2 linked regions of the Xenopus tropicalis genome follow. The protein of the gene in region 1 interacts with the protein of each later gene in a biochemical or structural test. Links are inferred from orthologs where the notes say so. Each region holds a gene or a part of one and is shown on either strand. Other genes may lie near its edges.

Region 1 (12,080 bases):
TATCACTGTTTATACAGGGTCTCACTTTTGTGAAAAGACCAATGTGAATAGTTGCAATGACCAGATCTTTCCAAACAGTGAGGGCGCAGGAGATGGAGGGGCCAAACCTGAGGCCTCGTTAGGGTGATTTGTGATTTTTGTTTATTTGCTATTGTACATGTTCAGGATACCCCTGTAATACTATAATAGATAATAATGATGCTTTTCATAATAATAATTTCATGTTTTAGTTCAATTATGCCATGTTTGAGCAAGAATATATTCAAATTTTAATGTAAAACAAAAAAAATACAGTGGACCCTTTAAATTAGAGGCAAAAAGCCTCATATCCAGGAATAGTACTACAGTAATACTCCATGTTGGTGCAGTTTTCATTACCAACAGCAGAACAGAAACACCGGCCCAGGATCTCAGGTGTGTAGTTATAATTACTGGGGTTCCTAACAAATAGGAACTGAGCATTGGGGGTTCAGCATTTGGCCTAATCCAATAACGATGGACGACGCATCCCTACTACAAACATAGCTTGAGCTGCCACAGAATGCATTGTACTTTTTCAGTATCTGCAGTTTTAGAAAAAAAAATCGGCAATTAGTTAAGAACAGTCTACTATAATTTGGAAAATCCAAAGCAAAGTCTTGATTGGTTTCTAGTAACTGTAATAGCGCAATTTGCACTTATATCCTTATCCTTTCCTTATCCTTTGTCATGCCAAATATGGAACCCATAGATACAAAGACATACACAGGATAGCCCGTAACTATATATGCCCGGCAAATCTGAACACTTAATTCCAGAGAACGACGCACTGATGACACACTATTATTATTATATTATAAGTTGATAAAAAAAAAAAATAAACAGTCATGGTCTGGGGATCTTTGGGCCCTCTGAAGGTTCTGAACTTAAGGGCCCCCACTGCTACTAACAGCGGCTTCTTCCATGTGTTCTGATGATATCAGCAGGCCGGGGCCCACCAGCATTTCTCCCAGTTCCCTGGTGGTTCAGTCCGGCCCTGCTTTACAACATATGGCATATATCTGTCCAAAGTGCTGGACTGTGAGTCTTTAGAACAGAGGTCCCCAAACCTTTCTTAATCGTGGTAAGTGCAAAGTTATGCATTTTGGTAGAAATAATATAAACGCGAACTATCGACTGAATGGTAGTTTGTTGGGGGTTTCCTTAATGGAGAAGGATCTAGGGGTTTTTGTAGATAACAAGTTGTCTAATTCCAGGCAGTGGCATTCTGTGGCTACTAGAGCAAATAAAGTGCTGTCTTGTATAAAAAAAAGGGCATTGACTCAAGGGATGAGAACATCATTTTGCCTCTTTATAGGTCCCTGGTAAGGCCTCACCTTGAGTATGCAGTGCAGTTTTGGGCTCCAGTCCTTAAGAAGGATATTAATGAGCTGGAGAGAGTGCAGAGACTGCAACTAAACTGGTTAAGGGGTGGAAGATTTAAACTATGAGGTGAGACTGTCGAGGTTGGGGTTGTTTTCTCTGGAAAGAGGCGCTTGAGAGGGGACATGATTACTCTGTACAAGTACATTAGAGGGGATTATAGGCAGTTGGGGGATGTTCTTTTTTTCCCATAAAAGCAATCAACGCACCAGAGGTCACCCCTTTAGATTAGATGAACAGAGCTTCCATTTGAAGCAGCGTAGGTGGTTTTTCACGGTGAGGGCAGTGAGGTTGGGGAATGCCCTTCCTAGTGATGTGGTAATGGCAGATTCTGTTAATGCCTATAAGAGGGGCCTGGATGAGTTCTTGAACAATCAGAATATCCAAGGCTATTGTGAAACTAATATCTACAGTTAGCATTAGTGGTTGTATATATAGTTTATGTATGTGAGTGTATAGATTGGTAGGTGTGGGTTGTGTGTGCTGGGTTTACTTGGAAGGGTTGAACTTGATGGACTCTGGTCTTTTTTCAACCCTATGTAACTATGTGAGCCACAGTCAAAAGTAAAAGACTTGGAGAGCAACACAAGCATCATAAAAGTTCATGGAGGAGCCAAATAAGGGCTGTGATTGGCTATTAGGCAGCCCCTATGCACACTATCAGGTTACAGGAGGCTTTATTTGGTATGAAATCTTGTTTTTATTCAACCAAAACTTGCCCCCAAGTCAGGAATTCAAAAATAACTCCCTGGTTTGGGGGCACTGAGAGCAACATCCAAGGGGTTGGTGAGCAACATGTTGCCCCCGCGCCACCTGTTGGGGATCACTGCTTTAGAGTAAGTACCCGCAGACTACTATCCAAAAGCTAGGTGGAAATGAAGTACTTATTTGAAATTTCAACTTTCATTGTTTATTACTGTTTTGGCTACATTCTCTACAATTTTCAGCAGCATCTTAAAGAGACAGTTAATGTATATTTATGTACAATGAAAAAAAATGAAAACTGCTTGCAACATCAGAAACAAGAGCCACAATGAACTGTACAATATTAAATGGTAAAACCTGTGTTAATACAAGCTTCCTCTTCTGTAACATGAACAAAATGACAAATCTTTTTATTTCTCTTTAACAGCATGAGTTTAAGGACTCATCCCCTTGAATGCTACAGAAAAGAGCAATATATTGCAAGACCAATGCACTACCGTTGCCTACTCTGGCATCGAGGGGGGGTTGTCTCCTTTTATTTGTGCAATAAAGAAATACAGCGTTCTAGAAAGGCGTTTAGGCCATTAGAAAGGAACCTGTCTGTCTTTTAACACCGTGTTAAGCCAAGAGGAATCGGTTTTGCTTAATGTATTGCATACTTACAGCCTCCGACATAGAGGATCTCTCAAGACGAGGGAGAACAAAAACCTCAGTAACCTGCCCCGAGTAACAGAGCATTTAGCAAACCAGGCTTACAGTACTGTGTATATGTTTTACAGATGTGTACACATGCTTGATTGTTAATGAATTAATCTGGTTGTTTTTTTTTTTTCAATTGCCACTTTAAAATAGGGGCAATTCTATTGGTTTGCAAAAAAAAAAACAAAAAAAAAAAAACAAACTCAAAGCAACATTAATTAGCAGCAAAATAAAAGCGCAGTCGAGGAGACTTAAAAAAAAAAAAAAAAAAAAATCAATATTCAAATTAGAAAAAAAGCCATACTTTAAACATTTGTACAAGGGCAAACGGCTGCTGAAAGGACACGGATAACTGAAATGGACATCTGTACAACAATATACATGAGTGCCAGAAGGGAATTTATCATTATCCTGCATAGAACGTTTTATTGAAGGTTTTGGTACCTCTTGTGTGTTTTATGGCGATGGAACAAAGAGAAAAGAAAAACGAATGAATCACAGGTATTGAGTGGAATGATCCATAAAAGGAACTTGTGGGAAAAGGGGGAGAGGGGTCGCCGATTTCAAATTAAAAAAAAGTCACAGTGACACGTGAACGATTCTTATGGAATATAAACTCCAAACATAACGTGTGAATTCCTCTTATATTCAGCTTTGGTTTAAATAAATGGGTGTTGGAGTTTGCGGGCAAGTGCGTTGTTTGTAATCACTCGGGTGCCAGGTGCCCATGATCAGAAGTGTTGTTTTTTTTTTCCTTTTTTTTTTTTTTTTTTTTTTAAATAATGAAAAATGCCCTTCATGCTAAAACTCTCCAGTATCAACCAATCGTGTTGCAGTATTACAAAGTTTATTTACAATGTCCTCTCTGGAAAAAAAAGCTTTTTTTTTTTTTTCTCATTATATTTCATTTTGTCCATATTGAATGCACGTGGTTGGTGGGACAAACTTGGATCTCTTGACAGTGGCCCCAAACTTGCGTAGGAACACGCCCTAAGCATTGTCCCTCATTACTCTGAAAATGGCTTTGTAGGGCAATGAATGGAGGCCAGTGCCAAATCACATTACTGTCAAATGGGAAATTTATTCACAGTCTCATTCGCTCTTGCCATACTAATAACACTACAGAGAAAAAGAAAAAAAAAAATCTCCCCAAAAACACACAATTATCTTTAAACTCCTTCTTGGTTCTCCTTTGTTGTTGAACAAAAAAAATTAAATAAAATAAAAATGCTGCGCCGGAAAGCTATGTAACGAATAATCATGCCAGCAGCCTTGGTGCGAGTATCAGTATGAAATGATGCTTGATGTGGGAGTGGTTGGAGAGGCCACTAGCCCAGACATATGGAGGTTTCCTGAAGAGTTGGATCTTCTCATATGCGGGAGAAGATACGCGTCATTGGCCAGTTGGTGGACATCAAACCTGTCCTCCTTGCGGTAGGCTAAGCATCGTCTAATAAAGGCCTGAAAGAAGGAAACAGATTAACGAATAGCAATTACCATAAATTCAATCAACTCAACTTCAGTCATCTAGAAGATAAAGTGACATTAACATTTTTATCAGTGTATCCTATATAAATGCATACAAAACCATATCATTTGTGGTGTTACTGTTCCTTTAAGGGCTCTGGCAGATGGGGAGATTAGTCGCCCGCGACAAATCTCTCTGTTCGCGGGCGACTAATCTTCCCGAATTGCCATCCCTCCGGCGAAAATGTAAGTCGCTGGTGGGATGGCACACGCGGTGGGGCGATTTCGGCAAATTGCCGAAAATTCCTCGCGAGGCAACTTCGGCGATTTGCTGAAATCGCCTGTGCATTCATATATTCATATATAATTTGTTATATATTACCTTGGCTTCATTGCTTACAACAGGCTTCACTGGAAACTGTACTTCTGTGGCTTTTAATATTGTATTTTCCTGTAAGATATCCTGTTGAGACTGATTGTGGCCAAATGGCTGAAAAGCAAAAGGGGTTCATTATTAGCCATGGAGAATAAAGTGTCAATATTAGTGTCATTCTAAACAAAATATTTATTAGCTTACCTTTCTGCCATAGAGACACTGGAAAAAAATGACTCCTACAGACCACACGTCAACTTTGTTGGAGATTTTCGGGGGCTCCTTGCCCACGACAAAACACTCTGGTGGTAAATACCTGCAAAGTGCACAGCGCAACATCAATAATCTGCTTTGACTATGCATGTGGCTTTCTTTAAGCAATTTCTCTTGCCAAAATGTGACATTTGGGTAAGGGAAAAAGTGTCAATAGAGAATAGATTACTGGACAGGCTCTAACCCAGGGGCCCCCAACCTTTTCTACCTGTGAGCAACATTTAAATATAAAAAAAACTTGGGAGCAATACAAACATGAAAATGTTCCTGGGGAGCCAATTAAGGGCTATGATTTACAGTATCTAGTAGAATTTAGTCTAAAACAACTGGACTTTTCTGAGTTTTTCTTGAAAACGTTTCCCTGCTCATCTGAGTGGCTTCTTCAGTTCAAATGACTGGTAGGGAATTCCCTGGCATTTAAACCCTTGAGGGTAGTACAGTCACAGACATCCAATCACAGTGGTTCCATTAAACTTGTTCAGTTAGGTGTTGGCTGAAACGGACAGGTATAAGAAGGTATGATCCAGTCACAATGGTACCATGATTCAGTGATGCAGGTGTTAATCCTTCAAAGTACATGACTGGAAGTGTGAACTGTTGTGAAACCGCCGGGGTAAGGATGTGAAAGCGGCATTGTATGTTGATGACAAGCGGTGTCGCAGGCCCCCCCATCTCTGTTCAGGGATGGTTTTTACAGGCTGGCATAAATGGCCTCTTTCACACCTCTTTCAAACCATCTGTCCTCTCGGTCCAAAATATGCACGTTACTGTCCTCAAAATAGTGACCTTGTTGTTTGAGGTGTAAATAGACTGCTGAGTCTTGTCCTGAGGCGTTAGCCGTCCTATGTTGGGCCATTCTCTTACAGAGTGGTTGTTTTGTCTCCCCAATGTATAAGTCTGAGCACTCTTCACTACACTGGACAGCATAGACCACATTACGCTTTATGTGCTTTGGTGTAGGGTCTTTATGGTGCATCATGTTTTGTCTCAGAGTGTTGCTGGGTTTCAGCCAACACCTAACTGAATAAGTTTAATGGAACTATTGTGACTGGATGTCTGTGACTGTACTACCCTCAAGGGTTTAAATGCCGGGGAATTTCCTACCAGTCATTTGAACTGAAGAAGCCACTCGGGTGAGTGGAGAAGCTTTTTCAAGAAAAACTCAGAAAAGTCCAGTTGTTTTAGACTAAATTCTACTAGATACTGTAAATCATAGCCCTTATTTGGCTCCCCAGGAACATTTTCATGCTTGTATTGCTCCCAAGTTTTTTTATATTTAAATGTTGCTCACAGGTAGAAAAGGTTGGGGACCCCCTGGGTTAGAGCCTTGTTTTAGATTCAATTCTGCTAGATACTGTATATCATGACCTGGATGAATGAGAATCTTCATAGACAAGGGCTATGATTGGCTATTTGGTAGCTCAATGTGGACTGGCAGCCTAAAGGAGGCTCTTTTTGGCAGTATACATGGTCTTATGCTTACAAAACTTGCCTCAAAAATAAGCACCTGTTTTGAGGCCACTGGAAGCAACATCCAAGGGGTTGGTGAGCAACATGTTGCTCATGAGCCACTGGTTGGGGATCACTGCTCTGACCTGTAGAGCTTTCATTCTAAATGCTTATGTCTGCATCACAATGGTTACTAGGAAAAAAATCCCAGTTAACCCTAAATCCAAATAAACCAATTTATCTAATGAGCTATACATAGTTGTTTTATTAGTACAACACTTCAACCCTTCTGCAACCGTCTCATGACATGGCAGCAATCAACTGGAATACGTTCATTAGGCCATGAAGTGCTTTTTCCATGAAGGGCTTTTTGTTGCCTTAAGCCTGGGCCATTATGTTAGGGATCTCTTAAAGGAGAACTAAAGCCTACCTAAAAAATAAGGCTGCACATTATGTTTTGTGCTTCTGTACCAGCCCAAGGCAACCACAGCCTTTTATCAGGGAAGATCTGTGCCTCTAAATATGCCCCAGTAGCTCCCCCTCTTTTTTTCTGCTGATTAATTGCACATACTCTGTGCTGCTGTCACTTTCCTGAGCTTAGGGACCCACTCACAATATACTGTATATACAGAACATAAATGTCACAATATAAGGCTGGTTAGTAATCAGTACAGATAATTACTACATTGCAGTTCAGAAACCAGTGCAATTTGCATAAGAATTTAATAATCAGCCCTGTAGCATCATCTTATATTACAGGCCAAGAGAAAAGATATAACAATATAAAATTGCTCAGAGTGCTCTCTAGATTTAAGCATTTTGCCAATATCATGAATGTGTAACCAAACTGCCCTCTGCTGTTCATGCAAGAGCTTGTCAGATGGCAAAAGTTTAAGTTATTTATACAGGGCCAGGCTTAGGTAACTGTTCCGAACCATATTATTAAATCATGAAAAGGCTGCGTATTATTTAATTATTTGTACATTGCAAAGTTGCTTGAAATTATGTTTTCTTTTCAAAAAGCTGAAGTTTCTTTTGGCCCACGCAGAACACACCAGAGGGCGCTCCTGTTACACAATCATGATATTAGTAGTGACCTGCTGATATCATGAAATATATTACAAAAAAAAAAAAAAATGCAGAAGTGCTAAGAAGAGCAAATTGTGGTATAAGGGTGGGTATAGGTTTCCTTTTAATATGAACCTGACAGCAGTCAAACAAGATTAGGAAAAATGTCTGTGAAACATGACAGGAAATCATGTGATGCTCACCAGTATGTCCCTGCTCCTTGAGAAGTCAAGTCCATTCCATCCACACCATAGCTGTCGTCATCCATTATCTTGGACAAACCGAAGTCGGTGATTTTTATTTCTCCACAAGCTGTCCCGTCCACAAGAAGGATATTTCCTAATTACAGCAGACATTACATAAGTTTCTAACCACTGAAGCTGTAGTCATGGCTGTTGTCTATAAAAGGTCTCTAAAGGTGGCTGTGGTTGCACAAAAGATTGTTCCCACCCTCCAGACATTCAGGGCTGAATCGTCAGATATAGAGGTAGAAACAATAGGATTCTTTAGCCCTGAAGGTAGATTTTGCTCAGGTGCCTTCAATGGCGCAAGATCAAAATCTTTTAACCCGCCCAATCGGCGAGTTGACTGATATCCGCAGCCTTTTGCGATATCGGTCGCTTCGCAGTCGCCATACACGCACCGAATATCGTACAAAACGTGGTTTCGTACAATATAATCGTTGCGTGTATGGCCAGCTTTAATCTCTAATTCAGTATTCAACCATTCTTAAATACAGCCTTTAACCGCACATAGAGACATGTGTAGCAACCTAGGATAGCAGTGCATCTGTGTGTGGTTAAAGGCTGTGTAAAAGCACAGAAAAAAACAAAGACTAAATTGCAGTTTATGAGTTTCAGGCAAAATTGAGTGTTCTACCTACCTGGCTTTAGGTCGTAGTGGATAATGGGAGGCTTGATCTCATTGAGATAACGTAGTGCATTGACTATTTGCATTACAATAGACCTGGCTTCCTTTTCCGACATCAACTTGTGCTGCTTTAGGTAGAAGTCGAGGTCATTGCCTTCACAGTATTCTAGCACTGTACAAAACCTGCACAAGATTAAAAAAAAAACACAAGTGTCACACCCTAACAGGTCTGTGCCCCTTATGCACTGCCTTGAGCCCCCTCTAAGGGGGGCAGTTCTACAGTTTGGAAACTAGGGGTTTAAAGGGATTCTGTCATGATGTTTATGGTATACTTTTTATTTCTAAATTACACTGTTTACACAGCAAATAATTAAAAAAAAATTCTCTTAAACAAGAAATGCATTTTTTTTAGCTGTAATATTGGTGCGTAGGCGCCATCTCAGTGCATTGTGCCTGAGTCTGAGCTTTCAGAAGGAGCCAGCGCTACACATTAGAACTGCTTTCAGGTAACCTACTGTTTCTCCTACTCCCATGTAACTGGAGGAGTCCCAAGCCGGACTTGGATTTCTTACTATTGAGTGCTATTCTGATACCTACTGGGAGCTGCTATCTTGCTCCCTTCCCATTGTTCACATGGCTGTGGCACCTGGGAAATGAAGAATATGGCTAGCCCCATGTGAAATTTCAAAATTAAATATTATATTATGCTTGCAGATTTCAATGCAGGATTCTGCTAGAAAAGCTTTATTAACTGATATGTTTTGAAAAAAACATGTTTTCCCATGACAGTTGTCCTAACTTATCTTCATATCTGAACATAGGTTGGTAGAATATACAGACAGGCTACATACAGGACTTTGATAAGCAACTAAGAGAGTGAGCGATACTTACGTGTCTGTATCCAAGGAAAAATAATCGTAAAGTTTAACTATTCGGGGGTGATCCAGTTCTTTGTGTATTCTGTACTCTCTGCAGGCATGCCTACAATAAACAGCACCATCAGTACAGTCACTATGGCAAGCGAAGGGCTCACTATCAAAAGGACACAAAATATTTACTTGTGGTAGTTTTCTTTCTTCTCGTCCCTCCAGCTCTTGTTAAGCTGGTGGATTTTTACAGCAGCATATCTTTGTTCATAAAGATCAAAAGCCTGAAAGAGATATCAAACCATTATGTGACTTCCTTGACAAGTGTATGTGGAGATTCTTACAGCATCCTATGCCCCTTGTCTCCTGGTCTCAGCATCCCTGCACAACCTGGCCAATCCCCCTGTGATAGGTACTGAACAACAAATCCACATGCAATATGGCTACATAAATATATATATCTGGAAACCTGTTGTGCAAAAAACTCTGGAAAGCCATTTACCATATGCTCCATTTTAATCAAATAACTTAAAAATAATTTAAACATATAATTGTATATCTTAGTTGGGATCAAGTACAAGGTAAAGAAAATTATTTTAAGTTAAAACTAAGGTCTATGTAAATACAGCCATAAGCACTATGTTATTTTTCTAAACATGATGTACGGGTGTCTGACTTCCTCTCTCAGAAAAATCCTTAATTCCTGTGTCCAGAGTCTGCGCAGTTCTCTCCTCTCTTCTGCTCCCCCCTCCCATAAGAATTCTAAGAACTCCCTCCCCCCCTCCCTTAGCAATGAGTGATCTGAGCTATAACGGCTAGACTGCAAACAGGAAGCTATTTAAAATGGCAGCTGCTGTCTTAAGCAAATGAAGAAAGCTTCTAGGGCTCTTTACTCAGGTATGGCAATGCTTTCTGCAGAATAAATATGTTGTTCTAAGTGGCACTAATGTGGCAAATCTATTGGCAGTAAAATCCCAAAATTACTTTCCTTCTCCTTTAAGATAAGATAAAAATTACAGATCCCTTATCCAGAAAATTCAAGGTCCCCAAGCATTCACATATATTCTTTATATGGATTAAAGGCTTTGACTATTCAGTAGTCTTTACAAAAAAAAAAAAAAAAAACAATCTTACCTTGTACACTTCACTAAAGCCGCCTCGACCTAATAGATGTAGTAATAAATACCGTTCGTTCAGTGTAGGGTGGTCTTTAAATCTAAAGGAAAATGATAAACATTCATGGTTTAGATACAGCAACTTCTGCCATTACTTTGCCAATAAAAGATCACTTTTCTTGTTCAGCAGCCCCATGCAAGTAACCAGCTATGTCTTCTTCCATACCCTCCGTTCCAACACATATAGACATATTATTTGTGTAAGTTACACCAAGAGTACTTACTGTGAATTATCTTCATTGTTTATTCTTTTAAGCTCCCGTATATGAAGATTTCTAACCCTCTCTAACCTTTCCAACTCTGCCTGAATTTCGGCTTCTTCCTGCAAATGAACACATTGTGTTGTTTTAGGCAAGGACAAGATGGGGGATTGCTGTACACAACAAACTGAAGACTGTAAATGGTCAAAGAACTGAACAACACTCACACAAATTAAATATTTTAGACAAAAAAATAAATGTGAGCACTTTAAAGCCAGAGAGCATGTTTGCTTGCAGTAGGACGTTAGTAGAACATAATACTGCCTTCTGTGCGTGGAGAGGACAAAGCCAGAGGTTGAGGAGCCTAGATACTAAGTTTGGTTAAATCCACCGGGAATAAAATACTTTAGGTCCACAAAGATTCTCCCCCTGGCTAAATGACTCCAGCATGCTCCCAGGGACAAAGCTTGGTTTGTCTGTATTTCCTGCTCTTGGGTTGTTCCCTTCACATAAAATGAATTCCAATAAAAAGTAAATATATGTTTTCAAAGAATAAAGCTGAACCAGTAAAATGAGCTTGAGTTAATGGAACTGGGCAAGAAATGAGGTCGATGGCTTTGCTGAAACATGACTGAATAACTCAACACAACTGGCTAGTAAGCACAGACTATACCTTGTATGTGTATATGTTTTGAAACCCAGTAAAAAGGAAGAAATTGTGAAAGAAAACGACAGAAGTCTTAGGGGATGAATGTTTTACAGATTCTTAGGCAACAGGCAAGTTAACTGTACAACTAGACCCAACAGACAAGAATGAATTTCAAATGTCCAAGTACAGTACTAGAATAACTGGGTACAGTTTCCATAATATAACAACATTTTATGTTTGCTGGCTTAACAAAGACTTAGCAAATTTCAGGAGCTTTAGCACCCTACATTACTAATTAAATGCAAATGATTCCTGTTGCTTAAAATGTTATGAAACCACTAGTGCTCACAATGTATTCCCATTGGAAAGAAATATAACAGCATTAAGGATCACTCTATGCAATATAGCTCAGATATAAGGAAGTATACATGAATGAAGCATTTAGAAAAAAGTCAGAGGTAACAGACAATGCTTTACAGCATATAAATACTAAAACAAGTGCTGTAAAGCAGTAATCAAGAAGGAAAAAATGAGGATTGCTTTACCTGCAAATGCTACTCCCCCCCCAAAATATAAGTGAATATACTACTTTGGGTCTCCACATTAGACATCCCATATTGCACTAAATGATCAGTGAAAAAAATGCAGGTTCAGCATGTGGCTCATTCAGAAAAAAATTAAAATATACTGGTTAGAGTGGAGTCTAAAAAAAGCAAATGCTTAAAAGAACAGTAAAACCAAAAAAATTATTAAAATATAATGTACTGTTACCCTGCACTGGTTAAAAGTCTGTATTTGCTTCAGAAACCCAACTATAGTTTATATAAATATGCTGCTGTGTAGCCATGGGGGCAGCCATTCAAGCTGAAAAGAAGGAGAAAAGGC
Region 2 (12,180 bases), on another chromosome or scaffold:
TGCAATGATTTAAAAAAAAAAGTTTTTAAAGATTTTATTTCTTTTAAAACCTTTTTTGAATTAATAGTAAAAAGTCCAATTAAATACATTTTAATTTCAATCTTGAACAAAGCATTGGTGATAGAGTAGCAAAAAAAAAAAAAATGTTTATTGTGGCATAGAAGGTAAAAAGGTAAACATTTGTGTTCACCAACAATTTAATACTTGGTAGAACCACCTCTGGCTGCAATTACATTGTATAGCTGTGAGTCTTTTAGGGTAAGTACATACTAACTTTGCAATTCTGGATCTTGCCATATTTGTGAATTCTTGTTGAAACTGCTCGATCTGTGCCAGGTTGAACTTGAGACCATTTAGTGAACAGCAATTTTCAAATTGGCACAGATTCTCAGTCAGAAGTCTGGGCTTTGAACAGGCATTTCTAACTCTTGTTATAAACTACTCCAGTACATTAGAATTAACAGATTTGCGGCACGATATGTCTTGCCCTCAGTACTATAGGTTTACCACACATAGCCAGACAAGGGAACTATTTTTTTTGCTTCCAAATGGGCTTTTTTTTTTTTTTTTTTTTCAGCCATAGCTCTCTTCCAACTATTCTATCATAAAACCTAGCATTGTGGAGCATCTGGGTCATAATTACATTGACTTGTTCTCCTCTCAGCTGTGGGACTTTATACTTCCTTCAGTTACCATTGGTCTCTCGCTTCCCTATGCCCTGGTTGCTGAGATTTGGTGGACATTCTTCTCTAGTCAGTCTTGGTTCAGACATTTTTCCTTTGTTCAAGATTTCTAGCTGATTGGTGCTTCTTCAGAACTTTACACTGGACTTGTTTTGAAGAGCTCCTTGGTCTTCATCATGCTGTAAATTCAGATATGATTAGAACCTCTGGAGCCTTCTATAAAGGGGTGTACAGAATTTATCAGAAGCTTATGTGATAATTTATAGGTGGACTCCATTCAACTAATTATGCGACTTCTGAAGGCATGTTGGTTGCACCAAAACTTATTTGTAGAGGGGATGAATACTTCAAGACTTTTTTTAATTTTTTATTTGTACGTTTTGAAAACTACGTCAACTTTTTACAAAAAATTTTTTTGCACTTCGACGTTGACAATTTTGTGCAAGACACTGTAAGTAGGGCTATTAAATAAGGTTAATATCAGTTGTACTTAAAGGAGAATGAAAGTCAAAACTTAAAAAGCATACTGCCCAATAGTCCTCCTATTGTTTAGTAAAAACGCCACACTTTTGACGCACCTAATCAAATATTTACTCAGTCACACTTACTTCACATTTTCTAGAAGAGGCAGCCATCTCTAAAAGGTATTCTCCCTTCCTTTCCCTCCTTGCTTCATACTGCACATGTTTCATTCCCTCCCCCCCCTCCCCTCTGCCAGATCCGCTTCTGATTGGCTGGTGGGCATGTGTATCTCAGACCAGGAGACAGGATCAAGTTACACACATGCTCAGAGAATAGGAAGGCTGCCGCTGGCACCTACAGGAAGGGGAAAGAGATTTCAGTGATGTCACTGTAGTCTTCTAACTGCTGTAGGCTGCCAGCACCATATCTCAGAGAGGCAAGCAGGGATCTGGGAATTTAGATATGCAGTAAGTACTTAAAAAGAATGCGTTTAGATTTACTTTTAATTTATATTAACCTTTCATTGTCCTTTAATACTGGATTAGAGTTGTTTACAAAGGGACTGCATATTTTTTTCCCGACTGTAGAAGAAACTATTTTATATCGAATGGCTAAATAGCCAACTGCTTGCTTGGCATTAGCAATTGTAAAATTTTAAAGATATAACACCCTCTGGTTTTCGCTTGAAAAGAAAAACCATGCAAAACATGTATTGTTTATAAAACCAAAACTGGTAAATAATTACCTTTTAACAAGAAAGTAAACTATAAAGGCATTATTTGTTGTAAGAATAGAATCCATCTGAAATAGATTTTATGTAATCAAATAGGATGTACTGTGGATGGCCCACAGTGTGCATATGTCAGGTCTGTGGTATCAAGCATAGATTTATTTCAGCAAAATATCAGAAAACAATACATCTCCAAATAAATAGCAAAATGTGCTGCAGTTGCATGTTCTAACTAGTTTGGAAAATAGCTGATAGATACCTGCCTTAAGCAGAAACAAAAATAATTAAAAATAGATTTTTTAAAAACTTTTCCCCCTAGTTCACATTTTGTTTCCACCCTTTGATAAAGGTTTCTGCCAAGGACATGTTTCCTGGTGTCCTATTTATTGGAAAATAGTGTTGCAAAGTGCAATTTTCCCATTGGCTTGAAAGTAGAAAGATGTAAAAGTAAAGTCACATGCAGTCCATGTGCGATTCTAGCATGACATTTAAAGAGTTCTCTGACATAGGCCATCCTTTTGAAGCTGAAGGTCTGGCTTCTATTGACAGTATTGGATGCAGATGAGGATTACTATCTTCAAGTTCATCAAGCTTCTCTGTATTTTCTTCCCAGTTTATGTGGAACCTGGTTACTCTAGGATTTGATGCCAAGATGTTCCTCTGAAGCTGCAGCAGAGAGAAAATGTAAATGATTTAAATGATAATTGAAAGCCTTTTAGGTTGAGGGTACATGGACTGTTGGTTCCACTGCCCTCAGCCTGCATTTTTTTTTTTTCAGGCTGAGAGAAGCGGAACGGCTCCCTTAACCAGCTCCATTGACCTGGACATAAAAGTAAAATTGTATGTACCATGCAGGCACACGCAGTAGAGGTTGGCTTGAAGATGCCTGCTTTTGCTTTTTCAGGCCGACCTCGACTCTGTTTGCAGTAGGAAACAACATGCGACTTTGGAAATGTTAGAGGTGCGGAAGCCTTTCCACCGGTGATTCACTTTATTTCTGATGGGAAGGCATTAGAAGCCACTGTAGTGGGTTTGTGTTGTGCACCATATTACTGCAGTTAGGTGACACTTCTGCATCTGTGCCATTTGATCATGATCCGCAATGTGAAGTCCCAACAATGCAAAATAAACATTACATCACCTGGCAGTTGTTTTTCAAACTATTTATTGCAGAGTTTGTAAATTCTTTACCTTGGAAAAGTCTGGTTTCACAGGAGGGTTTTCACGCAGTTCTGTTTCTGTATATTCATTATTAACATAATAGCCCACTCTGATAAACTCTTGATCTCTGTATGTGCATGTGATAAGCACCACTGTTACACCAATGGCATCTGCGTCTGGTATAAGGCCTGAGTTGGGGGCATCAGCCTAAACAAAGATGGAGACAAAGCAGTTACAAATGTTCTCTGTCAGAATCTACTGTTCGGCTCCACACTGATTCTTCCTTAAAGGAGAAGGAAAGGCAAAGTCACTTGAGGGTGCCAAAATGTTAGGCACCCCCAAGTGACTTTAATCGCTTACCTTGTACCCCGAGCTGGTGCCCCTGTTTGGAGAGAACAGCACCAACCCGGGTGCCTGCAGCAAGCGCTTCCTCTTCCTTGTTCGCGCTCGTGCATGCGCAGTAGGGTGAAAAGCTGAACTTTAACAAGAAGTCACCTTTTCACTCAGGTATTTTGCCGGCAGAGCAAACACGGAAGAAGGAAGCGCTCCGCTACAGCTACCCAGGGCTGGTGCGGTTTTCTTCTAACAGGGGCACCAGCCCCGGGGTACAAGGTAAGCGATTAAAGTCACTTGGGGGTGCCTAACATTTTGGCATCCCCCAAGTGACTTAGCCTTTCCTTCTCCTTTAAGCTTCAGAAAAATTGATTCTCTAGGAAGCAGATATGATTAATTAGTGGGGCTTGATATTTAGTTTTTTCCCAGTTACTGAAGAATCTGTACATCTCTGCCTAGTTGGTCAGAATGTGTAGTACAGCTGCCACTACATAGTACATCCACTGTGCAGACTAATTCCTGTACCACAAGTAGCAGATATTTCACTGCAATTTTATTACAGAGTGCATATCTATCCATTACTAATCTGCAAGATGCCATTTCTTTCTAGACACTTGGGACTAAGGGCTGTGGCACATGGGGAGATTAGTCGCCCACGACAAATCTCCCCGAAATGCCATCCCACCGGCGAGAATGGAAATCGCAGCACTGCATATGCCATCCCACCGGCAATTTACATTCTCACCGGTGGGATGGCATTTCCTGGAGATTTGACAGGAAAAAGTTTGAAGTTTGACAGCCACATAGCAAGTACACTTTTAAGGGCTTTGGTACATCGGGAGATTAGTCGCCCGCAACAAATCTCCCTTGTCGCGGGCGACTAATCTCCCTGTGTGCCAAAGCCCTTAAAGTGTACTAGCTATGTGGCTGTCAAACTTCAGTGGGGAGCAGTCCTTGACATGTTATATATTGACACACTGTCTGTCTGTACACGTAATTCTTGGGGGAAATTAGTCATGGTAGGCAGGAGCATAGAGACAGAGACATCAGTTCTTCAGGCAAAAAACACAAGTTTATTTTGGGGCAAACTCTACCCAACATAAACATCAGCAAACTGTTCATCATATATGTTCATGATTAGTACCCTATTTGGAATTCTCACCTTCCAGGGTAACTCTCATACTCTGGAACCTTTTCCTGGGGCTTCTCACCATCCCGGCCATCTCACACTTTGGCTTCTCACTAAGCCTTGTCGTTCTGGCACTCATACACATGGCTCCTTGCAGTGGCAGGCAGCACCCCCAGCCCCCTGGGAGTTCCTAACACAGGCAGGCAGCATTCTTGCTCTGTGTCCTACTCTGAAAGACCTTTCTCAGTGACTCCTGGCACTTGGTTACAGCTTTCTCTGCTCTGAGAGTGAACCCCTCTCTGTGAGTCCCCCTGTTTGTGGCCATACACGTAGCAATTCTGATGGTCACAGGATCGTTTGTTTCCCCCACAACGTTCAGGGCTGAATGTGGAGGTAGAAACAATAGGAATTCTACCTCCACCTGCCGATTCAGCCCTGAACGCAGATTTTGTTTGGGCGCCTTCAGTGGCACCCGATCAAAATCTTTTAACCTGGGTGATCGATGAGACAGCCAATATCCACAGCCTTTGCTATATCGGTTGTCTCGTCGATCCGCCATACACGCACCGAATATCGTTCAAAACGAGGTTTCGTACAATATCATTAGTGTGTTTATGGCCAAAATAAACATTACATCACCTGGCAGTTGTTTTTCAAACTATTGCAGAGTTTGTAAGAATTTGTATGAATTGTTTTCTGGAGGAGGAAACTTTGTAAAAATGAATGTAAAGTATATGCCATTCCACCGGCGATTCACTTTATTGCCAGAGGAAAGGCTTTTCAGGGAGATTAGTTGCCTGCGATAGCTGAAATGTAACCATGGGGGACTAATCACCCTGTGTGCCACCACCCTTAATGGTTCTTCACTAAGAAGAATATTTTATATAAAATCAATATCAACTTACCTGAAATACAAACATATGTCGGCCTGCAGGTACAGGTCCCACCAATACAGAGTCTAAAACCTGGTCATATTCTTCACTTTCAGCAGAGCCCACGTAAATAATTTTCCATTCTAAATCTGGTGGAAAGTATAATGTTAATTGAAAAGGAATGGGAAATTAGCTCTTCAGCTATCTATAAATATAAAAGTAGTCTCTTAGCCTGATGCCACACAGGGCTGATTCTCAGCCTGAGGAAAACTATTGCGTCAGTTCAGGTGCAGGCACTTGTAGCAGATATGGGTTGCTGAAATGAGAGGCAAGGAAGAAGGCTGATGCCAGCATAGGGACTCTGTTTTACGACAGGCCCTGTGTGGCATCAGCCTAAAAAAAAAGTTCATTAGATGACATCCTAAACATAGTGGGGTTTTTTTTTTTTTTTTTTTATCACCGTGGGATGGCATATGTATTGTTTCTGTCTTCTGAGTCTGAATTTTTCTTGTGAGGCAACTTTTGACTTTTTCAGTTCACATTTTTAGTAAATGTCAGACATTAATGAAAATGAATTTAGTCAGATTTTTAAAAATTGCAGCAGCTAGCTGTATCAATATATTGTTCTTCTGAAAGTGGAAAAATGGATGACAGATTTGATCATGGAGAACTGGACATCTTTCTAAGGTGACACATTTTCTTGTTGTTATTCGAAAAATTATTATATTCATAATTTTACCATTAATTTGGGTTAAAAAAGGACAACTGCCCATCAAGTTAACCATTTTTAAAGAGATTCATAGGCAGATTGTCAGTGTGTGTTTTTATTTACTATGTTGGGACAGTGATTATTAACGCACACAAGCGCCCAGTTCCATGAATATGTACATCTAAATGCCCCTGTGTTACTATTGAGTTTGTGCCCATTACACAGTGAGATGAGGGAGGGGCTATAATTCCACCTGTGACATAAAAAAAGATGAATGCAAGGAAGAATAAACATCTTTTCTCCCCATAACAATGCAATAAACATCCTTATTTTTGTATTTTCCCATGTATTTATATAATAAAAACTGCAGGAAAAAAAAAATAGAAAACAAGCTTTTGCTTTTCACTCCAGGCAGCAGGTCAGCATTATACAAGTAACCGCTATTTAAAATCTGCTGTCTTTGCACTGCAAGAGCCCCAGTGCAGAGGTCACATTGCGTGTCCTGCATTGTCTGTGTCTGTTTCACACTCATTAACCCGACCCCCTCCCTCTCTATCCACAAACAAAACATGGCTGCTGCTCCTGCCACCAGGGCACCTTTCAAACTTACTTTCCCAGTGTGTGCAGCAGCATTCCCATACACTCCCAGCTAGTGCAACCGCAAGTTTTTTCCCTGCTTGTCTACGTTAATGTGCCGGCATTTTATTCCTGTCAGCGCCTGCTCTGCTTCTTAGCCAAGCATCAGGCCTGTGGGAATCAGTTTAACCTCTTGTGCACTAGGATGCTTCTTTAGCAGACTGCCAAAAGAAAGAACTGATTGTAACTCACCTTCAGAAAGGTCCTCTATGCACTCAAAGGTGATTTCGAACTGGAAAGGATTGTAGAAAGGAGAAGGGTTATCCAGCACCACCACATTGTTCACCTGAACCTTTGCCATATTTTGGAAATGCTCAAACAATGGGGATGGTGTGAGAGTGCAGGCAAGACCCAGCAGTGCTTATCTGTGCAGAGCCCCTGTCACTGCTTCTTGCAGTTCTTTACACCAGTCCTGAGAAACTTTCTTCCAAATCAGCTTATTTGTTTGTTTGTTTTCTTTTTATTTCATCCATTGATTACTTTCAATGTGAGCAACTCCACTCTATTTTATTTATTATTTCTCCCCCCTCCCCTGCTCTCCTATCTTACTTCACTACACCACATTCTGTTCTGTTGCTATAACAGCGTGTGTCCGGATTGGCTGCTCCCTGGCCCTTCCCATAATGCTAAAAGCTACACGACAGAAAAAGACAGACTTCTCATGACCATGGGAGCTGGAAATGTTTAGCAGCTGCTCCACCTGCTGGCTGACAGCTCGAGCACACCTCAGGGAGGATCTCTCCGCACTGACAGGCTCAATAGTCTTGCTGCATCTGTGTTTCCTAGCGTCTGAACAGTTCAAAAGTAGTGAGCTTTGCCTCTTTTGGCACTTTGAGGCTTTCAACAAAAACTTCGCTTCTTTAAAAAATGTTTTTCTCTATCTCCCTGGTGTACAAATTAAGATATTCAGGGATCAGCTGAGTTTATCTCATAAGGATATGCATGCAACCAATTAAAGGCTGTTGCACCTGGGGCTCTGAATCCCCCCTGGCAAAATGTCCTCTGGGGAAAAGCTGTTAATCAGAATTTTTGTTTTTTTGGGGTTTTTTTTTTGCTCTTTATTTACTTTTATTTATATTTAAAAAAAATTGACAGTAATGTAGCAGTTACTTATAGGACTATATGGTAGAACCCCTATTTCTGGGAAAACATAAAAAATAAAATGTACCTTGCCTGTATGGGAGGACAAAAAAACCTGCCAATTCTGGGAAAACATAAAATTAGGGTTCAACCATAGTAAATTAGGTTGAAAAAAGACACATCCATTAAAGGAGAAGGGAAAGTAAAAACTAAGTAAGCCATAAGCACTCACAGAAACACTGCACTGAGTCCTTCAAAAGAAACACAGGATTTCTTGTGATTGCTTGTTTTTTGTGAAAATGTTCTTCAGTATCAGACTTCCTCTCTTTTAGGGCTCCTTCAGGTTTGGGGCATGAGTCTGCTCAGTTCTTTTACTCTCCCTCTCCCCCTCCCTTCTGCTTCCCCCTCCCATAAGAACTCCCACCCTTAGGAATGTGTGATTCGCGCTACCAATGGCTATAACTGCAGCAGGAAGCTACCAAGACCAAGCTAAAATGGCAGCTGCTATCGGAGGGAGCTTCTAGGGCTCTTTACTCAGGTATGGTAAAGCTTTCTGCTGAATAAATATAGCGTTCTAGGTGGTACTAATGTGGCAAATCTATTGGCAGTAAAATGCTAAAAATTGCTTTTCTTTCTCTTTCAAGTTCAACCTTTTGTGTCTATATATAACCTGCCTAATTGCTAGTTGATCCAGAGGAAAGCAAAAAAAAAAAAAAACCCTTCTAAAGCCTCTCTAATTTGCCTCCTGGATCATCTAAAACTATTTTCAATGACCATGTCTATCTAATGTATCTGCCAGAAGGACTGATTCATAGGGAGAATTTCACAACTTCACATCTCTCGCTGAAAAAACCCTTTCTGAATATTTAGATATAATGTCCCTTCTTTTAATTGAAATGGATGCTTTTGTGTCTGCTGGAAGGACCTACTGTTAAATAATTCACTGAAGACCAAAACTGCATGGCATATTCTAGATGGGGCCTTACCAGCGCTTTGTAAAGTGGGAGAATGAGCCCTGCCTCTAGCAAATCTATGCCCATTTAATACAATTTAACACCTTGTTTTCCTTGCAGCTGCTGCCTGGCATTGCTTGCCACAGCTAAATTTATTATCTACAAAGACTCCAAGGTCCTTCTCTATGTCATATCGGGGAGGGATTTGTCGTGGGCGACTAAACTCCCTTGTGTGCCAGAGCCCTTAATGGTATAAGTAGCTTGCCTATTTTTACATCCCAGGTGTACAACCTTACATATATCTTACATTACAGGATGCCACATCCTGGATGAAATTAATTGGGCTGAATTGGCTTGTGCCATTTGCAAACACTGATACATTCTTTATCATGCCCTCCCTTAAGTCATTAATGAACAAATCAAATTTATCTAACATGACTGTTGGACCTGCTCTATTCTGGGGTATTTAACTATTGAACTGAGACAGCCCGGTTTATTAAATAAGTGATATATTTATTTACAAAAGAAATAAAAGGTATAAAATAAGGAGGGAAAATAACTAAAATGGAGGAAGGAAGAAGGGAGAGGAAAGGTGCAATGGAGGGGAGAGGAAAGTGACTAACTAACAAAGTATTTACAAATGCTGTTTATATACATGATGAAGACCATTCAACCAAGCATAACCCATACTACCCTTTTCCCAAGACACACCCAAATGATAGTCCCAGCCAATCAGGTTGATGTGAGTTGTTTTTACAATGATTCATCTCAGTCAGCTAAGAGAGGTAGCTTAAGATAGGTTGCACTGTAGAGCAAATCCCATTGAGCCCAATGCTGCAGGCATTCCTGTTGATTCAGTGGGGTCTCCTTTCCTTAGGAACTCTGGCCCTGCACCCACCACACCAGTGTGTAAAGTCATTTGCATCTCTTTGATATGAACTGTACTATTGCTGTAAGGGTTGTTGTGTAGTTTTATGGCAGGATCTCTATTGTCCAGAATTACACCTCAGCAGATGTCATGTGAAGGAAAGGAAAGATATCTGTTAACCCTTTGTGTACATGTGGGTTCATTACTGAATATCCAAAATGCAGTACTACAATGACCTATCTTTCATAAAGCCATGCTGATTTCATTACAGCTTATAATGGCATTCTCTAGAATAGTGATCCCCTACCAGGGGCTCAGGAGCAACATGTTGCTTACGACCCCCTTTGATGTTGCTCCCAGTTGCCTCAATGTACAGTAGGTGCCCATTTTTAAATTTCTGGCTTGGAGATAAGTTTTGGAAGCAGAGAGACACAGTTTACTCCAAGCAGAGCCTCCTGCCCAAATAGGCAATCACAGTCCTCATTTGGCATTGCCAAAGAACTTTTTCCATGCTTATGTGGCTCGCCAACACTTTTTAATCTGATTGTGGCTCACGAGTAAAGAAGGCTGGGGATTCCTGCTCTAGAACATAATTTTGAATGTGGCCCCTTAAAGTAGAAATAAATATCCTATAAAAATTATGAATGTACCAGTGAATTATACATTGTCTTTATTTAAAGAAACTTCTTTAACTTTTCTGAAAAATAATTCTCTGAAGATTTTCCCAACAGTTTGTTCAAAGGTTCCCTCCTCCCTTCCAAATGATTTATCACATCGCATCAACCACAGAAAAAACCTTATTACCGTAAAAATAGTAAAAACCGTTTCTCTTTCCAGCGGGTGATTCCTCCTGAGCAGCCCATAAGCCCTTTCCCCATAGGTGTCACTGCAGAATCTTTCTATTCCCAGGACAGTCAAAACCTGACTATAAAGGGCTTCTGATACTGGGCAGTCTAAAAGAAAGTGGTCAGTGGTCTCTTCCTTCCCACAATCCCATGGGCAGAACCTATTTACCACACTTAGGTAACTAAGGTTCCCCCGGACAAAGAGTTTCCCTTGGAAGGCTAACCAAGCATTATCTGCATATTTCCCAGGGGGCCTATGGCCATTCAGAAACTTCAGACAGCAGGTTATTTCCTCACTAGTACAGTCCCGCAGAGCTAAAGGTGAAGTGAAAAAATCCTTAGCACCATCTCATACAGCTGCCTCCTTGTGAGGTTCTCTAAATCTCCCAAACTAAGGTGCCATTTCTTTATGAGCTTCAGACCCAAAGCTATATGCTGCAGAAAATAACCCCCCCCTCAATCCGGACCCCCTTCACTCTACCGGCCTTCGTCCAGTCTGATAAGAAGTGAAACTCAGGACCTGACACAGTTCTCCCACAGAAAACACTTCCTTTGGCTCAGATTCCCAAAATTAAATTTCATGAAAATGGTGCCAAAGAATGCAATTGGACAGACCATCCCAACCCTCCCTCTGCAGGAACGTGACCCCTCTTTTTACTGGGTTCAGTCTGCTCCCCCAGAGCATCTGAAAGAACAGACTGTAGATCCAAGTATAGAGAGATTCTGGCAAGGAAAACACATAGGCAACAAAAAGAAACAACAGGATCAGAAAGGTCTTGATCAGATTAACCATTTCTCTATTTGTCAGCTTCCAAGATTTCCAACGCTGAACTTTTGCCAAACCAGCATCCAGTTTCTCCTCCAAATTTAAGAGACCATTATCATTTCTTCCAAATTTAACTTCCAAGATTTTTACCTGCTCTGGGGCTACTGGGAAATTACCAACCTGAAAAGCTGGTTCCCATTCTAGAACACAAAAAGCTTCCGACTTTTCATGATTGACAGAGGAGCCAGAGGCCCCCAAGTAACTTCCGATGCAATTAGTGACCACCTCAACCTCCGCCTGCTTAGAAATGATCACAGAGACATCGGTGCAACCAACGCAATACATTTTAATTTAAAAGTGCAACAGTTTATGGGGGAATGCTGAAGGGTTTGAAATAAAATTAAATGAGTTGATGCTCAACCATGGTTTACTTACATGTAATCAAGTTTACATGGAGCTTTATGGGCATATCAGTAAATATAAAGAAAACAGAAACCTTCACCATACTATACAAATATTACCATAATGGACAAAAAAATTAAATCCAGTCAGTTTAATGGCAATAAAGTCAAATTTCTTAAAAGCCTCTTTAAAGGAGACATATGATATAAAAATTATACTCGTCTAGATATAGAAGGATTGTGCTTAAAAAAGTTTCAGACTTATTTATTGAGAAATTCCACCAAAACCCCACTAGTCCTGCCCATCTGTTCAGGGGAGCCGGCGGGATGCACTGTAGGATAGGAACCAATCAGCAGCTAGGTTGACCTGATAACTGAAGCCTGTCTGTGCTTGTGTGAGTGCAGGGCTGTGATTGGCTCTACCCCTCCTGCTGTGTTTGGCAGGGACCGTTGGGATACGCCCACCCTTCATTTGAAACACGGACAGAGAACTGATAGGATCTATAGGGAGCTCCAATAAAGGGGCCATTTTTACAGATAGGATTAATGTTT

Evidence for each region.
Region 2: of the proteins of tlk1 (region 1) and asf1a, one has a biochemical effect on the other in vitro, tested with the Homo sapiens proteins (3 studies listed by BioGRID). The link is inferred for Xenopus tropicalis from reciprocal best matches to the Homo sapiens genes TLK1 and ASF1A.

The regions. Positions count from the first base shown.
Region 1 is NC_030685.2:67,973,495-67,985,574, reverse strand, and holds the end of tlk1 (serine/threonine-protein kinase tousled-like 1), read right to left. Parts: intron 10,669-12,080; coding exon 10,571-10,668; intron 10,388-10,570; coding exon 10,306-10,387; intron 9,456-10,305; coding exon 9,364-9,455; intron 9,287-9,363; coding exon 9,197-9,286; intron 8,489-9,196; coding exon 8,319-8,488; intron 7,775-8,318; coding exon 7,639-7,774; intron 4,962-7,638; coding exon 4,850-4,961; intron 4,763-4,849; coding exon 4,655-4,762; intron 4,267-4,654; coding exon 4,090-4,266; 3' UTR 2,289-4,089; downstream 1-2,288. UniProt on the Homo sapiens protein: Rapidly and transiently inhibited by phosphorylation following the generation of DNA double-stranded breaks during S-phase. This is cell cycle checkpoint and ATM-pathway dependent and appears to regulate processes involved in chromatin assembly.
Region 2 is NC_030681.2:73,623,074-73,635,253, reverse strand, and holds asf1a (histone chaperone ASF1A), read right to left. Parts: upstream 7,345-12,180; 5' UTR 7,017-7,344; coding exon 6,908-7,016; intron 5,520-6,907; coding exon 5,404-5,519; intron 3,244-5,403; coding exon 3,067-3,243; intron 2,542-3,066; coding exon 2,329-2,541; 3' UTR 1,906-2,328; downstream 1-1,905. UniProt on the Homo sapiens protein: Histone chaperone that facilitates histone deposition and histone exchange and removal during nucleosome assembly and disassembly.